Linked DNA regions of Tamandua tetradactyla. The protein of the gene in region 1 interacts with the protein of each later gene in a biochemical or structural test. Links are inferred from orthologs where the notes say so. Each region holds a gene or a part of one and is shown in the gene's direction. Other genes may lie near its edges.

Region 1 (7,749 bases):
CAAACTTTAACCAAGATCAATTCCCTGGAATCCGTGGCCTGGAGGCTGGCATAGAGCAGACCCACGGGCAGTGCTAGTGTCCTGCCCCTCAGTGCCCTAAGCTTTCAGGTGGGGCAGCACCAAAGCCTATATAAGTGTAGGGGCTGCGAGGGGCAGGCATTTTTAATACCTTCTACTGGTTCCTCTACATACAAGATATCATCATCATTGGCTGTCAACTGCTGGAAGTTAAAGGTTCTGTCTTTTGAACAAACTAGGAAAACTGATATAATGATTGACATGTATTGAGCACTTTTTAGCTTTTTAGTACTGCTGTTTTAAAGCAGAGGGTTAAGTTCATCATACACATCGGTACACAGCGCATCATCATTACAGATGTACGAATTCATTTATTTTCCCCTTTGAACCTCGCCTGCCATTCCCAGATACCCCCCTGCAAACACCTATTGTGTTCAATGTGTATTGTTTTGCTTGTATGCGTTCTTTCAAAATGTATACTGTGCTTTCCTGGGTGTATGTATACATACATACATATATATATATATTTTACGTAAGTAGCACTGTTATTTAATTGTGTCTTATTTATTCCCCTTAGAACAGTTTTTAAGATCCATTCATTTGCTTTGGGTACGCTAAATCCATTGCTTCTAACTTCTGCATTGTATTCCACAACAGGCATCAACCACATCTATGTATATGAGAACCGACGATATGCTTCGTGCCAAGCTCTCTACGTGGGTTATCTCGTGGACTTCTTACAGCAGTCCTCAGAGGTAGGTGTTATTATTGCCATTTTATGGAGGAAGAAACAGAGACATAAAGAGTTAAGAACAAGCCCCAAATCACAGAGCTAGAAGGGACAGAGCTAGAAGTGTATGTAATACACATCTGTTTGGGGCCCTAGGAGAGCTCACAAAGTGCTACAGTGGGCTGTAGAGAGAGGTCAGGCTGCAGACAGAGGCTTTCTTAGGTGAGGTCCTAGCAGCCTGATGAAAGTTCTACTCCTGAGCTGGCTACTCACCTCCATAGAGCAAATCATCTCTCTTCACCAGATGTCACTTTCCATCTGTGTAAAAGGAGGGGCTTGCACTGGAGGAGAGTGATTCTAATGCTCTTTCTAGATTCATAATCTGTTGATAAATACCCTTTGGCTAATGGAAAAAATAATCAGAATCGAAGTCAGTTTTTCTTTCCAGTGTTCCACCTGGGAGCCACTCCAAATACATGAAAACCTTTTGGCACGTCTACTTATGAAGTTCCTCCCTGATAGGACTAACCATTCCCAGGGAAACAGAGTCGCTGCCTCCACCCCCATCCCACCTCTCTTGAACTTTGCACTGACCATGATGAAAAATTAACTGGGCTAATGTTTCTCTTCCAAGGATGACCTTTGCAAAAGCAGGCCTGGCTGGGCCCCTGGAGTCCAGGCGCCAGAACGGAGTTCCCAACCGTCCAGAGCCACCCACCCATCCCCACCAAAAGCAAAGAGAGCACGCAAGGTCCTCTTCATACTAGGGGGAATCAATTCTTAACCCCTGCTCAGCACCAGGTGAAACCGGACTTATTCTCCCAACTCTGAGAACCTGAGGCCAGGGCAGAAAGAACGAGCCCAGAAGCCTCACTTGGACTCACACAGTCCAGGACTGTTTTTCTGCATGCACAGCAGCTGTCCCTGTCATACGGATGCCGGCATGTTGAGGGAGGAAGCACAGGGAAGCATGCACGGTTCAGCCACACTAACTAGCTATCCAGTAGTTTTTTCCTCCTCTCAGGAAAATGAAAAAATGGCTGAACGAGGGCCCCTTCTGATGCTGTGATTTTAGAGGGAGCTCCCAGAAGGGGTAGGTTCATGTCAGGCCCTTCTACCATGTTCAGATCCTCTGCACAGCAAGTACTGTTTGCTCCATTCTTACAGCTCAGAGAACGGACACTCAGTAAAGGGAGAGAGAGAGAGCCAGGATCCAAAACCAGGTTAGTGGATGATGGAGCCTCAGCTCCTTTCACTTTACCTGGCTGCCTCTCAATAGTCAGACCTGTTTGATTTGATGCCAGGTTAAAATGAACATTTTCCTGGGAGATGGTTATTGCAAAGGCCTCCCTTTTGCCCATCCTTGCCAACTAAGGAACTCCTCACTCCTCATGCTTCTCTAGACCATGAGCTCCCTGAAGTTAGGGACCCTTACTTTCATTTCCACATTTCAGAACTGAGTAGAAGGACTGCAACACTGAGGGGCCAAATAAATGCTTATCTTACTGAACTGGACTCCCTCATCCACACCATTCTGAAGGCGTTCGCAAAGGCCCCAAGATGTCAGTTCTACTCCTTTATGACACTTGACCCTTTGCAATTTACATTAGATTCCCACAACCTTCCTAGGAGGTTGAGCGGAAAGCTATTTCTAATCCCATTTTGTAGGTAAGCAAATATTTCTTGCGGTGTCACAACAGTGCACCTGTGTAAAGGACTTTTGTTTTGCAAAGAGCTCTATCAATGATGTCGCTTTCTTCCACCACTCTGCAAGGCAGCTAAAGAATGCGGACTGAGGCCTCACAAAGCCTGGGCTTCAAATCCCAGCTCTGTAGTTTGGAACCCTGTGCAAGCATTGTCATCTCTCTGTGCTTCCAGTTCTGGTTCTGTAAATTGTGAAGATTATTAAATCAGAGGGTAGCTCTTGAGTCACCTGGAATGAAGAAAGCAATCAGTAAAGGCTGATTGCCTTCCTTCTCTTTTTGTATGGGGAAACTGAGGGCTGAGAACGAGGGAGTGGAACCTAAGAGGACAGTGATTGTCACAGGGTTAGCAGGAGGGCCAGCCAGCAATGTGAACCAGGCTGCAAAGCCTCAGTTGGGAGCTCAGGGCTTCTCCAAGCAGGTGGGGAGTAGGGAGGAGGGGGGGCAAGAGTGTAGAGCTCAGGAGCAGCTGCTGACCGGCTTGCGGAACCCGCAGCTCTTGGGCTGACTTTGAGGATTCGGCCACACCTCGCTGGGCTTTGTAACTCCCCACCTGCTTGAGGGTTTGCCGCTAACTTTTTTTTTTCTCACCACGGGGGTTTCCTGCTGTTAAAAACAAACAAAGGCTATGAGCCTGATAGGGGAAGCACAGAAGGAGATAGCCTTGGGGAACCGGGGTAACTCCTGAAAGCAGCTGAGGGGTCTGTGGTCAGAGGCCCCTGAATTCTGCTGGTGAGGAGAAAAACCCCAGGTCTCTCCAATACCTCCGGTATTTCTCTGCTTTCCACTAAGGCTAACTCTGAACACATAAACTTCTGGAGTACTCCCCATTTGCCCCACTTCTTATGACTTCAGGCTTTGGAAACAAAGCTCTTTCACCCTCTATTTATTGGGTGTCGAATTTCAGATCTTTTTTTTTTCTCTATCATAAGAGCTCACAACGACCTGTAATGTGTACTTTTTTTTTTTTTATATCAAAACTAAATTTCAAAGCGCCCCCATTCACTCCTTCATGTACTCGATACATGTCTTTGAAACCCATTTTCTGTCTGGCACTTGGTTCACAGGGTGCAAGGAATCCCTGGCTCCTGATAGAGCCTAGGGAGTCACTGGGTTCCCCAAATCTCCACTTGCAAGAGTCATCTTCTACCCCCCTCAACTACCGCCTCCGCACACAGGCTTAGGGCTCTCACCCGGGGTGACCGAACCCGTGAGTGAATTTTAGAAGTTCCCAGCCTGCCTGCGAGGCCCCCGACCGTGGTCAGCCTGGCTGGCCTAGTGCACGTCCTGACTTCGCCGGCCTCAGCCTTAAGTGCGCCCCCTCTCGGGCCCGGGTCTCCAGGGGTGCATCGCCAGCCCCGGGCCAGACGGCGCTAACTTGAAGCGGGTCTACTCCTCCCCCGGCCGCAACTTCATTTGAGCTTCCCGGGAGAGGGTTCCAAGAGCGGACGCCACGGCCCTCCCGCCTAGGGCCCCCTCTTGTTCCTTTCCCACGACTTCCTACCCGCGCCCGCCCGACCTCGGGTCGGGGCCGCGCGGACTGCCGCGCGCTCCAGCCCCGGGCCGCCGCGGTCCCCGGCCGCCCACGTGGGCCTGCTCGGCGCGGGGCGGGGGCAGGCCGGCAGCCCTCCCCGAGCCAGGGGCGGGCAGGGCGCCCGGGGGAGAAGGCGGCGGGGCGCGGAGAAGGAGGCGGGGAGCCCCAGCGGCGAGGGGGCGGTGACAGCGTTTGGAAAGGAGGCTGCACGCGGATTTGCATGAAACACAGACTGGGAGCGGGCGGGAGCGGGAGCGCGGCGCACGCACCGGGCCGGCCCAGCGAGCGAGCGAGCGAACGAGCGAGCAGGGAGGAGGAGGGAAACTGGGGAGGCGAGGCGCGAGAGACCGAGGGATTTGCGCGTCAGAGCCGGCGAGGAGAGCAAAGTTTGGCTCAGGGGTCGGACTTTTCCTTCCCGGAGGCGGCACCCAAACAGCCACCCCGTGCGGAAACCCAAACTTTTTTCAGCCACTCGAGTCTCCAGGCCGATTCCTCCGCCCGGCGTTCGGGGCCTGCCCGACCCGGCGCCGCTGCCGTCCTCCTGCCCGCCTCCTTCCCCTTCTGCCAGCCGTGGGAGCCGCTTGGGGCGCACGCCGAGTCCCGCCGGCTGCAGCGCCGCGCGGCCCAGCCCGGCGCACCAGAAAGTTCGCCCGGAGTTGAGGAGAAGTTTGGGCGGCCGCGGCCGGCCGGGCAGAGCTCCCCTCTGCGCCCCCGGCGTCCCGCCGCGCCCAGCCCCGCCGGGGGCGCCCCTCGCCGCCCGCGCCCTGACCCCCACCCAGCCTCCCCTCAGCCATGTCGTCCATCCTGCCCTTCACCCCCCCGATCGTGAAGCGCCTGCTGGGCTGGAAGAAGGGCGAGCAGAACGGGCAGGAGGAGAAGTGGTGCGAGAAGGCGGTCAAGAGCCTCGTCAAGAAGCTCAAGAAGACGGGGCAGCTGGACGAGCTGGAGAAGGCCATCACCACGCAGAGCGTCAACACCAAGTGCATCACCATCCCCAGGTGGGGGCTTGGGGGGCCTGGGGGGCGCGCCGGGCCCAGCCCCCTGGCGCGGAGAGGCCGGCTCTGTGGGTTTGGAGAGGCATGGTGTGTGTGTGTGTGTGTGTGTGTGTGTGTGTGTGTGTGTGTGTGTGTGTATGTGTGTGTATGTGTGTGTGGGGGGGGGGAGCGAGAGCGCGGACAGGAGGGGGGTGGGATGGGGGACCCCCAAGCAAAACCCTCTCTGAATTTGCAGTTATTCAGAAATGCTTTCAAACGGCACTCTCGCTTCCAGACTTCACGTGCGCTTTTCGCCGCTCAGAAAGTAGGGGTTGGGGTGGGGGTGGGGCTGCTGGCGTTGACCGCCCCCACCCCGGATTGCTGCGGGCTGGAAGTTGAGGCCCGCTTTGTTCGGCTCGGCGGGCCCGAGCCCCTCCTCCGCCGCCACCGCCGCCGCCTCCCGCCCCGCGGCCCGCGCTCGTGGAGGTGGTGGTGTCTCTCCCTTTCTTCCCCTCAGTCCTGTGCCCCCTCTTCTTTCCTGCTTAACAGGAATGTAGTCCGTACAGCTGGGGCTGTGGGTGAGGAGCGGGAGCCTCGTGATTGACAGATTCCTTCTTCGTTCTCTCTTTGCCTTCGGGATTAGCATTTTTATCGAGTATTTTTAGACTCGGTTGTGCCAGCCTCCCGCCCCCTCCGCAAGCATGCACTTTTAAGTTGCAGTGCAGTGCTCTGACTTTCAAATGGGAGAGACAAGTGGCAGAGAGTAGGGGCTTCCTGTCCTACCCTCTCCCATCCCGGACTGCTTTTGCTCTCCTTTTCAGTCTGAGATTGCGGGGTGAAGCAGAACACAGAGCGGGCTAGAGCCGGTCAGATAACAGAACGCAACCCGAAGTGGGCCTCCATCGGCCCTCGCATTCCTGCAGAGCCCTCCTTCCCAAAGCGCTTTGCCATCTGTTTGGACCTCCTTTATCCCCCGCATCGGGCAAGCTGGGTCGGGCGGGAGCTCACAGATGGCTGATAGAAAGGGGTCAGTGACTTCTCTCCTCTCCCCACGACCTTCCCTTTATCTATGCTAGGCTGGGAATTGGGATGGGGTGCTGGGGGCCACCTTGGCCTCCTGTCTCTCCCTCCCAGACCCCTTTGAAATCTTATTCTGAACCAAGGCCAAGGGAGTGGAGTGCAGAGGAACAAGTTGAGGAGCCCCAGGGCCTGATTCTGGGAGGGATTTTCATCCTTGCTCCTGGGCCTGGAGTGGACTCCATCCTTGGCCACCTGCTTGGGGCAGCTGTGCAGGGGCTGCCAGCCGGGTCAGGCAGGCACAAAGCAACATCTGTCCAAGGGAACCCAGGACAGGCCTCCTTTGGAAATAAATGCCACATATGGTGGGAGTGCTGACTTTAAAAATAATAATTTTTTTAAAAAAACTGGGTGGATCCAGTCAGTAAAGGGGGAGGGAAGGCGGTGTGCTGTCTGGAAGTGCGCTCTGGGTGTGTGATTGGAAGTTAGAATTGACTTCAGAGGAGGTGGTGTGATGTGATGATCAGAGCCACCTGGGTTCTGGCCTCAGCTCTGGTTTTTTAATTCCTCTTTATTCCTCTGATGGGATTAGATATCATCCTTCCCCGACCTAGAGAGGGGTCTGCAAAACCTGCTTTCTCCTTACTTGTGGAGGTACATCAAGGACAAATGCTTTATGGGCTACAGCAGAGAAATGATGTCAGTTGTAACAACAAGCAGCTATATAAAGTGTTTCACAATTTACAAAGCACTTTCACATGGTTTTATGAGGTTCTCGGAGAAAGAACCCTCTGGAAAATAGATAAAGCAGTTATGCTTAAGATTCTCATTTTTAAAGTTGAGAAAACTTTGGAGGAGAAAGGTGAAAAGGTTTGACATAGTGGGCAAAGATATCTGGTGCTCTTTTGCTGCCTTGTACTCTGAAGGTTCTGAATAAATTATTTGCAGAATGCTTAAATCACTGTTATGCGTGTACGTGGGGGGTGGGGGGACTGAAGGGGGGTTGGTGCTTCCTTTAATAAGGGTGCTCGTGTTTAATCTTCGGGCAGGTTGCAGTTTGGAGAAGCAGCCTGGCTTTCTCTTGCCTTGGTGAGAGTTTGTCCTCTGGAGAGGCATAGCTCTGGCCTGCCTTTTCTTTTTCCAAAGCCCTCCAAAGCTGAGCCGTGTCAACACTTGGTAGTTCGGGCTAACCTGCTCCTGAGCTTTTTCCTTCTTAAGGACTGGGGCACCTTTTACCTGCCTGGCAAGGATCTATTGCTAAGGTACTTTTTTATTTTATTTTTTTTTTATTTTTATTGTTTATCCTTTCCCAGTTAGGGAAGCCCAGTTTCTTGGTTGGATCCAGACAGAATGGATTTCCATCCGCGGATTTCATGCCCGCGTCTCTGGGTCACCTTGTTTCCCTTGGCAACAGCTACTGCTGTTTTGGTCGTGGGCAGAAAACTAAAGGCCACGTCTTGGGTAGGTGGCTGGCGGCCTCGTGCTAGTGATACTGGAGTGTCTGCTAAGCCCCTTAGACGGTGGAGCTGCTTGTCAACTTGTCTGCGTTTTTCACGTAGCCTCTTCAAACTCGGGCTTTGGAAAGTAGACAAGGGGAACTGTTTAACCTGGTCATCCCGCTTGTGGGGGCACACTCTGCCATCTGGGCCCGGGGTTGAAGGAGCCCTCAGACCAAGGGGATTATGACAAGCATACTTTGGCTAATGTGTAATCGCGAGCAGCCACAGCGTTTGGCAATTATAGCCGTATGCTAGAGGCTTCCAGAACACATGC
Region 2 (7,185 bases), on another chromosome or scaffold:
CTGTCAATAGAGGAGAGTGGTGTATTGAGTCTCTTACTTTTGAAACAGGCTTTTCTCCCTTCAGTTTTGTCAATGTCTGTCTCATGTACTTTGGAGCTCCTTGATTGAGAGCATGGACATTCATTATTGTTATTTCTTCTTGATTAATTGCCCCTTTTAGTTCTATACAGTGCCCTTTTTTTGTCTCTTATGATGTCTTTACATTTAAAGTCTATTTTGTCTGATATTAGTATTCCTATCCCTGCTTTCTTTTGGTTACAGCTTGTGTGAATATCTTTTTCCATTCCTTCACTTTCAATGTATTTGTATCCTCAGTTCTAAGGCGAGTCTCTTGTAAGCAACATATAGCTTGATTATATTTCTTAATCCATTCTACCAATCTGTATCTTTTAATTGGTAAGTTTAGTTCATTAACATTCAAAGTTATTACTGCAAAAGCACTTCTTGAATCCACCATCTTATTCTTTGGATTTTATTTATCAGATCTATTTGTTCATTTCCTTCTTTCTCTTTTTATCATTTAGGTTACCCTTACTGGTACTCTTCAATTCTGTGCTCTCCTCCAGACCTCTCTTTCTTGTCTTTTTTTTTTTTTTTCAGCTGGCAGAACTCCTTTTAGTATTTCTTGTAGAGCTGGACTCTTGTTGACATACTCTTTCAGGATTTGTTTGTGAAAATTTTAATCTTTGCCTCACTTTTGAAGAACAGTTTGGGTGGGTACAGAATTCTTGGCTGGAAGTCTTTCTCTTTCAGGATATTAAATGTATCACACCACTGCCTTCTCGCCTCCATAGTGCTAGTTGAGTAGTTCCAACTGTCTTACGTGGTTTCCCTTGTATGTAGTAGATTGTTTTTCTCTTGCTGCTTTCAAGATTTTCTACTTCTCTTCAACATTTAACAGACTGATAAGTATGTGTTTTGTAGAAGGCCTATTTGGATTTATTCTATTTGATGTTCATTGGGCTTCTCTGATTTGCATTTTTATATCTTTTATACAGGTTGGGAAGATTTTCCCCATTATATCTTCAACTACTCTTCCTAGCCCTCTACTCTTCTCTTCTCCTTCTGGGACACCAATGATTCTTATATTTGTGTGCTGCATTTTGTCTGTCATTTCCTTTAGATCCAATTCAAATTTTTCCATGATTTTTTGTCATTTTCTCTTTTGCGCATTCAAAATCAGTTGTCCTGTCTTCTAGTATACTTATTCTTTCTTTTGCTTTTTCAAATCTGCTGTTGTGTGTCTCTAAGTATATTTTTTATTTGGTCTACAGTATCTTTAACCTCTGTGACATTTGCTATTGCTCTATTTATTCTTTCAAATTCCTCTTTACAATCTTCTAGTGTCTTCTTGATTTCTTTTATGTTATTAACCATACCACTGATTTTATTTAGTAAAGTTATATGAACATCTTTGATTAGTTGTTCCAAAGTCTGTGTCTCCTCCATGTTTTAATTTGGTCATTAAACTGGGCTCTGTCTGCATCTTCATATGATTAGTGATCTTCTGTTGTCTTCATGGCATGTAAATATCTTAATAGGGTTACTTTGGATGTTGATTTCTTTTAGTAGTCTCAAGCTTTGTATTTGCAGGACAGGTGCAGAGCAAGATGTGGGGTTTGGGGAGGGCCACAACAGTGCGGTGATGGGTTGCGGTGCAGGTATATGCACGGGTACAGGACTCTACACTGGTATCTGTGAGCATGGGCTGTGGGTCACAGTGATGTGGTCATATGTTGCAGGGGTTGTGGGGGTGAGGTGCAGGTCAGGCAGTTCTCGGAGTGCAGGAGCAGGGCGCAACTTGGCGGACACAGAGGTAGGGCACAGCAGGCGGCAGATGGGGGGGTCTGAGTGGATGCATGAGGGTTGATAAGTGGACAGGATGCAGGTAGGCACGTGAAGCATGTGGGTCATGGGTGTCAGGTGTAGGATACAGGGAACAAGTCGGGGCACAAGGAGGTTGGAATGCAGATGTGTCCTTGCACAGAGAGAGAGGTCCAGGGGGGCCAGGATGTGGATGTGCAAGTGCGTAGGGGCAGGGTACAGGTCCTGGAGGTTGCGGGACATGTGTGTTTGGTGGGTGATGATGGGGGTCCCTGGTGCGGGTGTGTAGGTGCAGAGGTGGGGTGGGGTACAGGTGCTTGCTAGTGCAGGGCGGAGGCTATGTAGCACAGATGTGTTGGAGAGGACCTGCCAAATGTGGGAGAAGGGCATGTGGGGTGGGGCAAGGTTGTGCACATGTATGAGGCAAGGGGAGTGAGGTGCAGGGGTCACGTGAGTGCCCAGCATGGGAGAAACTGGCTGTGCCGGTGTGTGTATCTGGGGGGCAGGGCCCTGAAATGCTCCTGTCTGGGGAGCAGGGCACTGGTGTGCATGTGGGCAGAGCTCAGGGCCACTGGCATGAGATGATGCCTGCTTGCGGCCCTGATGCTTAGGTCAGCACTTGCCCAGAGCTGAGGAGGCATGGCCTGAGTGGTAGTACGAGCCTGCATGCATCTGCGGGGCCAGAGGCTGACGTGCGCGTGCACGAAGCTCAGGGGGCTGGGGTGGAGTTGCATGACTGGATGGGCTGAGTGTGGATGTGGCCTGGGTCTGAAGGTGAGCGCCTGCAGCCCGAATGCGCAGTTGACTGCCTGCAGGGGGGAGGTGGGGGTCCAGGGGCTGACCACAGGTACGTGGGTCTCAGGAGGGGTGGGGCAACACTGTGTGCTTGCGTGCGAGAGGTGGGGTGGGCTGGGACAGAATTCTGCGCATGCACGGGGTGGGGGTCGAGAGCAGGGGTGCTTGGGGCTTGGCCGAGGTTGGGTAACGGGGCTCAGGTGTGTGAAGTTGGGGGGAGTTGGGGGGTGTGGGACGGAGGTGTCACGAGTGAGGGTAATGCGTCCAAGGCTCGCTGCTCGGCTTATTTCCTCCTCTCCATCTCCTTGTCCACGCACTCTTGATGACTCTGGGCCTTTGTCTGGCAATGGACGTGCTAAGCTGTTTGCATTAGCTGGCTGGTCTCTGGTTCTCTGCGTCTCAATTCTTCTGCTTTTTCAACTGTGTGGTGTAGAAGACCCTCTCAGGTCATCTACACCCTGGAATCACTCTCCCTAGACACCAACAAGGGGTAGGAAATGGGGAAGGGATGGGAAAAGCAAAGGTCTGAGCTGACAATATTTTGCTAGTAATCATAATAGCAAACTCATATAGAGCTGGTTGGCGATTGAATCATGCTTCCAAAAGGGTGTGTTCAAGTTGCAATCTTGTGTTCCTGTGGCTTTGAACCCCTTTGTGAATAGGACGTTAGAAGATATTACTATTCGTTAAGGTATGGACTCAGTTGTGCCTAGGATCTTTAAAGGACCTATTTAGATGAGGCTAAACTGATTTAGAATGGGACTTAATCCATATGACTGGAGGCTTTATAAGGCAGGGGAATTCGGATGCAGTCTGTCAGAGAAAGCCACAAGAGGAGACCCAGAAGGGGGGTTGCCAGGTGATGGGAGGTAGAGATGCAAGCCAAAGACCCCCAAGGAGACCACATAGCACAAGACCATTATAGACTCCAAGTGAAAGCATGGTGTGCTGAGTTCTTGATTTTGACTTCTAGTCTCCAAACCCATGAGCCAATAAATTCATGTCCATTAAGCCAACGCATTGTGTGGTATTTGACATAGCAGCCTGACAATCTAAGACAAATTCTTACTTGTTTGTTCCAAGCACCTTTACGTGCTTGACATACATTAATTCATTTAATTCTCACAACAATCTGTTAAGTTAGGAACTTATTTGTCCAATGAAAGAATGTTCCATGTCAATTTAGAGTAGAAGCCCCAGACACATATTGAGTCTGTAAAAACCACAAATTCCCAATTCGATTGGCTTGGAAATAGTCTCATTTTTGCCTCAGTGTAGCCTAGAAAAGAGTTCATGCCACCTAGAAAATAGATTCCACAGACTTTCATCGCAACTATAATTCAAAGATCAATGATCATTCTAAAAATGGAAAATGGTGCAGATGAGAACTAGAGTTCTTACCTGCCTCTAAACTACAAAGCTTCTACAACTTGAGCGACTCAGAAGTTCTGGCAGAGATAAAAATAAAGAAGAGGCACAGAGAGGAAATAAACGGAGACAACATCACTTCACAGCAACCGGAAGGAAAAGCATACACAGGCATTCGCCACTCACATCGCCCGTTTGTGGTTGTTCAGTAGGGAAATGCTAACAGCTGTCTTTAGCAGCAAGTCTGGCTGCAGCAGCAGCAGAGAGGCATAACCGTGCAGCAGAGCTGAGCTGTCATCCGCCGGTCTGCCCAGAGAGAGGACCAAGACACCACAGAGACAAAATGGTCCAGCAACTATGGTTCAGCTCCAGGGTGAGTTCTCAGCCACTCGTTGTGGCCACAGGCTTGGGGGAGGGCAAACTTGCTCAGACTCTGCTACTTCCTGAGTTGGTGTCAGACATCTGGGGGAGTTCCTTGCTGTTAGCACCCTCTAATCAGGGCAGAGAGGGACTCAACATGCCCCAAAGGAGGAAAGGATGACTTCAGCTCAACTTCCAAGCGATTTGGAGGCAGTGGTTTTCAATGCAGCTGCAAACTTGCAGAATTTTTACTTTTTAATCATCCCAGGTAGGTGCTTCCTGGTGTTCAAAGTGTGACTCCTCCCCTCTTCCTTCTGTCCTCAGAGGTCTTACCTGCAATGAATGAGCTTTAGCTCTTTACTCTTCCCCAAGTTATTTCAGGACTTCACAGTGTGAATAGTCATTTACACTTAAGGCTGAAATAGAGTCATGACATCATTTTCAGTCTCTCACGGGGTGACTCTTAAGAGCAAGAGATGGGGATTGAGGGTTGGGCTCTGTGTGTGTGCCCAGCTGTGCTGAGACTTGATTGTCAGGGGCAGGGACAAACGACCCCATGTTCTTCCTCTTCGCACAGGGCCACTCCAACAACTTCACTTTTGTTTTTCTCTATATTAATTCATCATTCATTCATTCAATTGTCTTCCACAAAGGATATATATAATATTGTATAATTTATATGTAATAGTCTTTATATTTATAAGATAAAGAATAAACTTTGTTTTTGGAATAATTTTAGATTTACAGAAAAATTGCAAAGATAATGCAGCGGATTCCCATATACTCTTTACGCAGCTTTCCCTTATGCTAATACGCTATACAACCGTGAAAACTAAGAAACTCACGTTGATAATTACCTCAACCACAGACTTTATTAGGATTTCATCAGTTTTTCCACGAATGTCTCTCTCCCGTTTCAGGATGCCACACCATATTTATGTCTCTTTAGTCTCTATGGATCTTCACAAAGTATGTGAGACAACATCTTTCCCTTGCTGAAATTACTTTAAAATGAATAATGTGTATTACTTTAAGAGGGGAAATTCATTCTATATATAGCTTAAAGCTCTGTGGAGACTGGTGAGCAATCTTTTCCCTCTGCTAGAGGTGAGGTGAGAGTGAATGCTTCTAGTCTGTTCAACCCCTGTTCGGGAAGCCCCTCCTTTCCACTCTCCGGCCCCCCCAGCCCTGGAAGCTTCTTTCCCACCCAGAAGTGGGTGTACTCTCCTTGACAGAGCCCTGGAGACCCACTAAGTGATTTTCCTCCTTGTTTCCTTTTTCCTCCAAGCTTTGTTAATTTCAACGATATTCCTGTTCTAAGAATGGGGCAAAGTGGAACAGTGGAAACAGAGGGATATGAAATCAATTTTGAATGAGAGTGCCACCAGTTCTTGTTAATTAGTTCAGTGAGTTATTTAATAATTTTCAACAGAGTCAGCACTACGGCTGTCACTAAGTCAAAACTTATGTAAGAGGGACAAAACCTAACTTTGCTCCTGCCTGCCAAAAGCTTAGAGTCCAGGGAAGAGACAGACATTAATAAATCATTACAAAAATGTATCATTTTAAACTGTGACGTATTGCAGGGGGATGTGGTCTCCTCGGGGAGTCAGGGAGGTTTCCAGAGAACACAGAGATGAGAACTGGAAAAGGCGACTTTTCCAGTCTTGTCTTCACATCCAAACTAGATGTTAAACAAGGCAAGGTGTGGGCTTGTGCTCCAGGCACAGAAAACAGCTGAAGCAAAGCCCTGAGGTAGGAGATCGCAGAAGAGTCTGACAAAATTAAGGCCCATGAGGTGCAAGATTGAAGAATAGGGTGATCCTGGGTGAGCTCAAGATGATCCTGGGTGAGCTTGGACCACGCTATGCAAGACGGTAGAGCCAGAGTGTTCTGAAAGAGGCGGAGAAGGTGGGGCTGTTGGGCTCTGATCTGTATTCCTTTCCCTTTTTTTTTTCATGCAAGAGCTTATTTCTATTTGTAGTATTAATCAGTGGGACACATGGCTCTAAACAACCCCTTTCAATCATATTCACCTTCAGTTATAATCCCACTAATGAATTACCATCACCTCCATCCATTCCCACACATTTAAGTTTAACCTCATTAACAAGTCTGAATATATTAGGTAACTGCTTCCTCTTTCTCTAACTTCTGTCTATCTGTAGGTTTCCTATATTCTACTTTTTAAAACTCTGAGCTTACATTTTCTAGGGGGTTCATATTAGTGAAATCACACAATCTCTATCCTTTTGTGTCAGGATTATTTCACCCAGTGCTATGTCCTCAGGGTTCATCCATGTTGTCATGTGCTTCAGGACCTCATTTCACCTTGCGGCTGCATACTATTCCATCATATGAATATATCACATTTTGTTTACCCACTTGTCTGTTGATGTGCGCTTGGGTTGTTTCCATCTTTTGGCAATTGTGAATGCTGCTGCTATGAATATCGGTGTACAAGTGTTGGTTTATGACATTGTTTTCAGCTCTTCTGGGTATATATTGAGTATTGGTATTAACAGGTCATAGGGCAACTCAATATTTGGTTTTTTGAGGAACTGCCAAACTGTCCTCCACAGTGACTGCACCATTATACATTCCCACCAGCAGTGCGTAAATGTCCCAATTTCTCCACATGATCGGCATTCTTAAGGGATGAATGGGAGCGACCAATTCTGAAGCAGGGAAGCCAGGTATAAGCTTGATGTAGTCATCCAAACAAGAGTGTCTAACGAGAAAATAGACCGGGGTGGTGGCAGTGGGAACAGAAGTGGACAAACTAAGTCATTTAGAAAGGAAAATCAACAGGGCTTGGTGGTGGAATGGAAAGGAGAG

Evidence for each region. The genes of interacting proteins can lie anywhere in the genome.
Region 2: the proteins of SMAD3 (region 1) and NEDD9 form a complex in vitro, tested with the Homo sapiens proteins (2 studies listed by BioGRID). The link is inferred for Tamandua tetradactyla from reciprocal best matches to the Homo sapiens genes SMAD3 and NEDD9.

The regions. Positions count from the first base shown.
Region 1 is NC_135340.1:84,247,174-84,254,922, forward strand, and holds the start of SMAD3 (mothers against decapentaplegic homolog 3), read left to right. Parts: upstream 1-4,748; 5' UTR 4,749-4,777; coding exon 4,778-4,983; intron 4,984-7,749. UniProt on the Homo sapiens protein: Receptor-regulated SMAD (R-SMAD) that is an intracellular signal transducer and transcriptional modulator activated by TGF-beta (transforming growth factor) and activin type 1 receptor kinases.
Region 2 is NC_135351.1:14,456,209-14,463,393, reverse strand, and holds the start of NEDD9 (enhancer of filamentation 1), read left to right. Parts: upstream 1-4,170; 5' UTR 4,171-4,360; intron 4,361-4,399; exon of another isoform or gene 4,400-4,615; intron 4,616-5,079; exon of another isoform or gene 5,080-6,240; intron 6,241-7,185. UniProt on the Homo sapiens protein: Scaffolding protein which plays a central coordinating role for tyrosine-kinase-based signaling related to cell adhesion. As a focal adhesion protein, plays a role in embryonic fibroblast migration.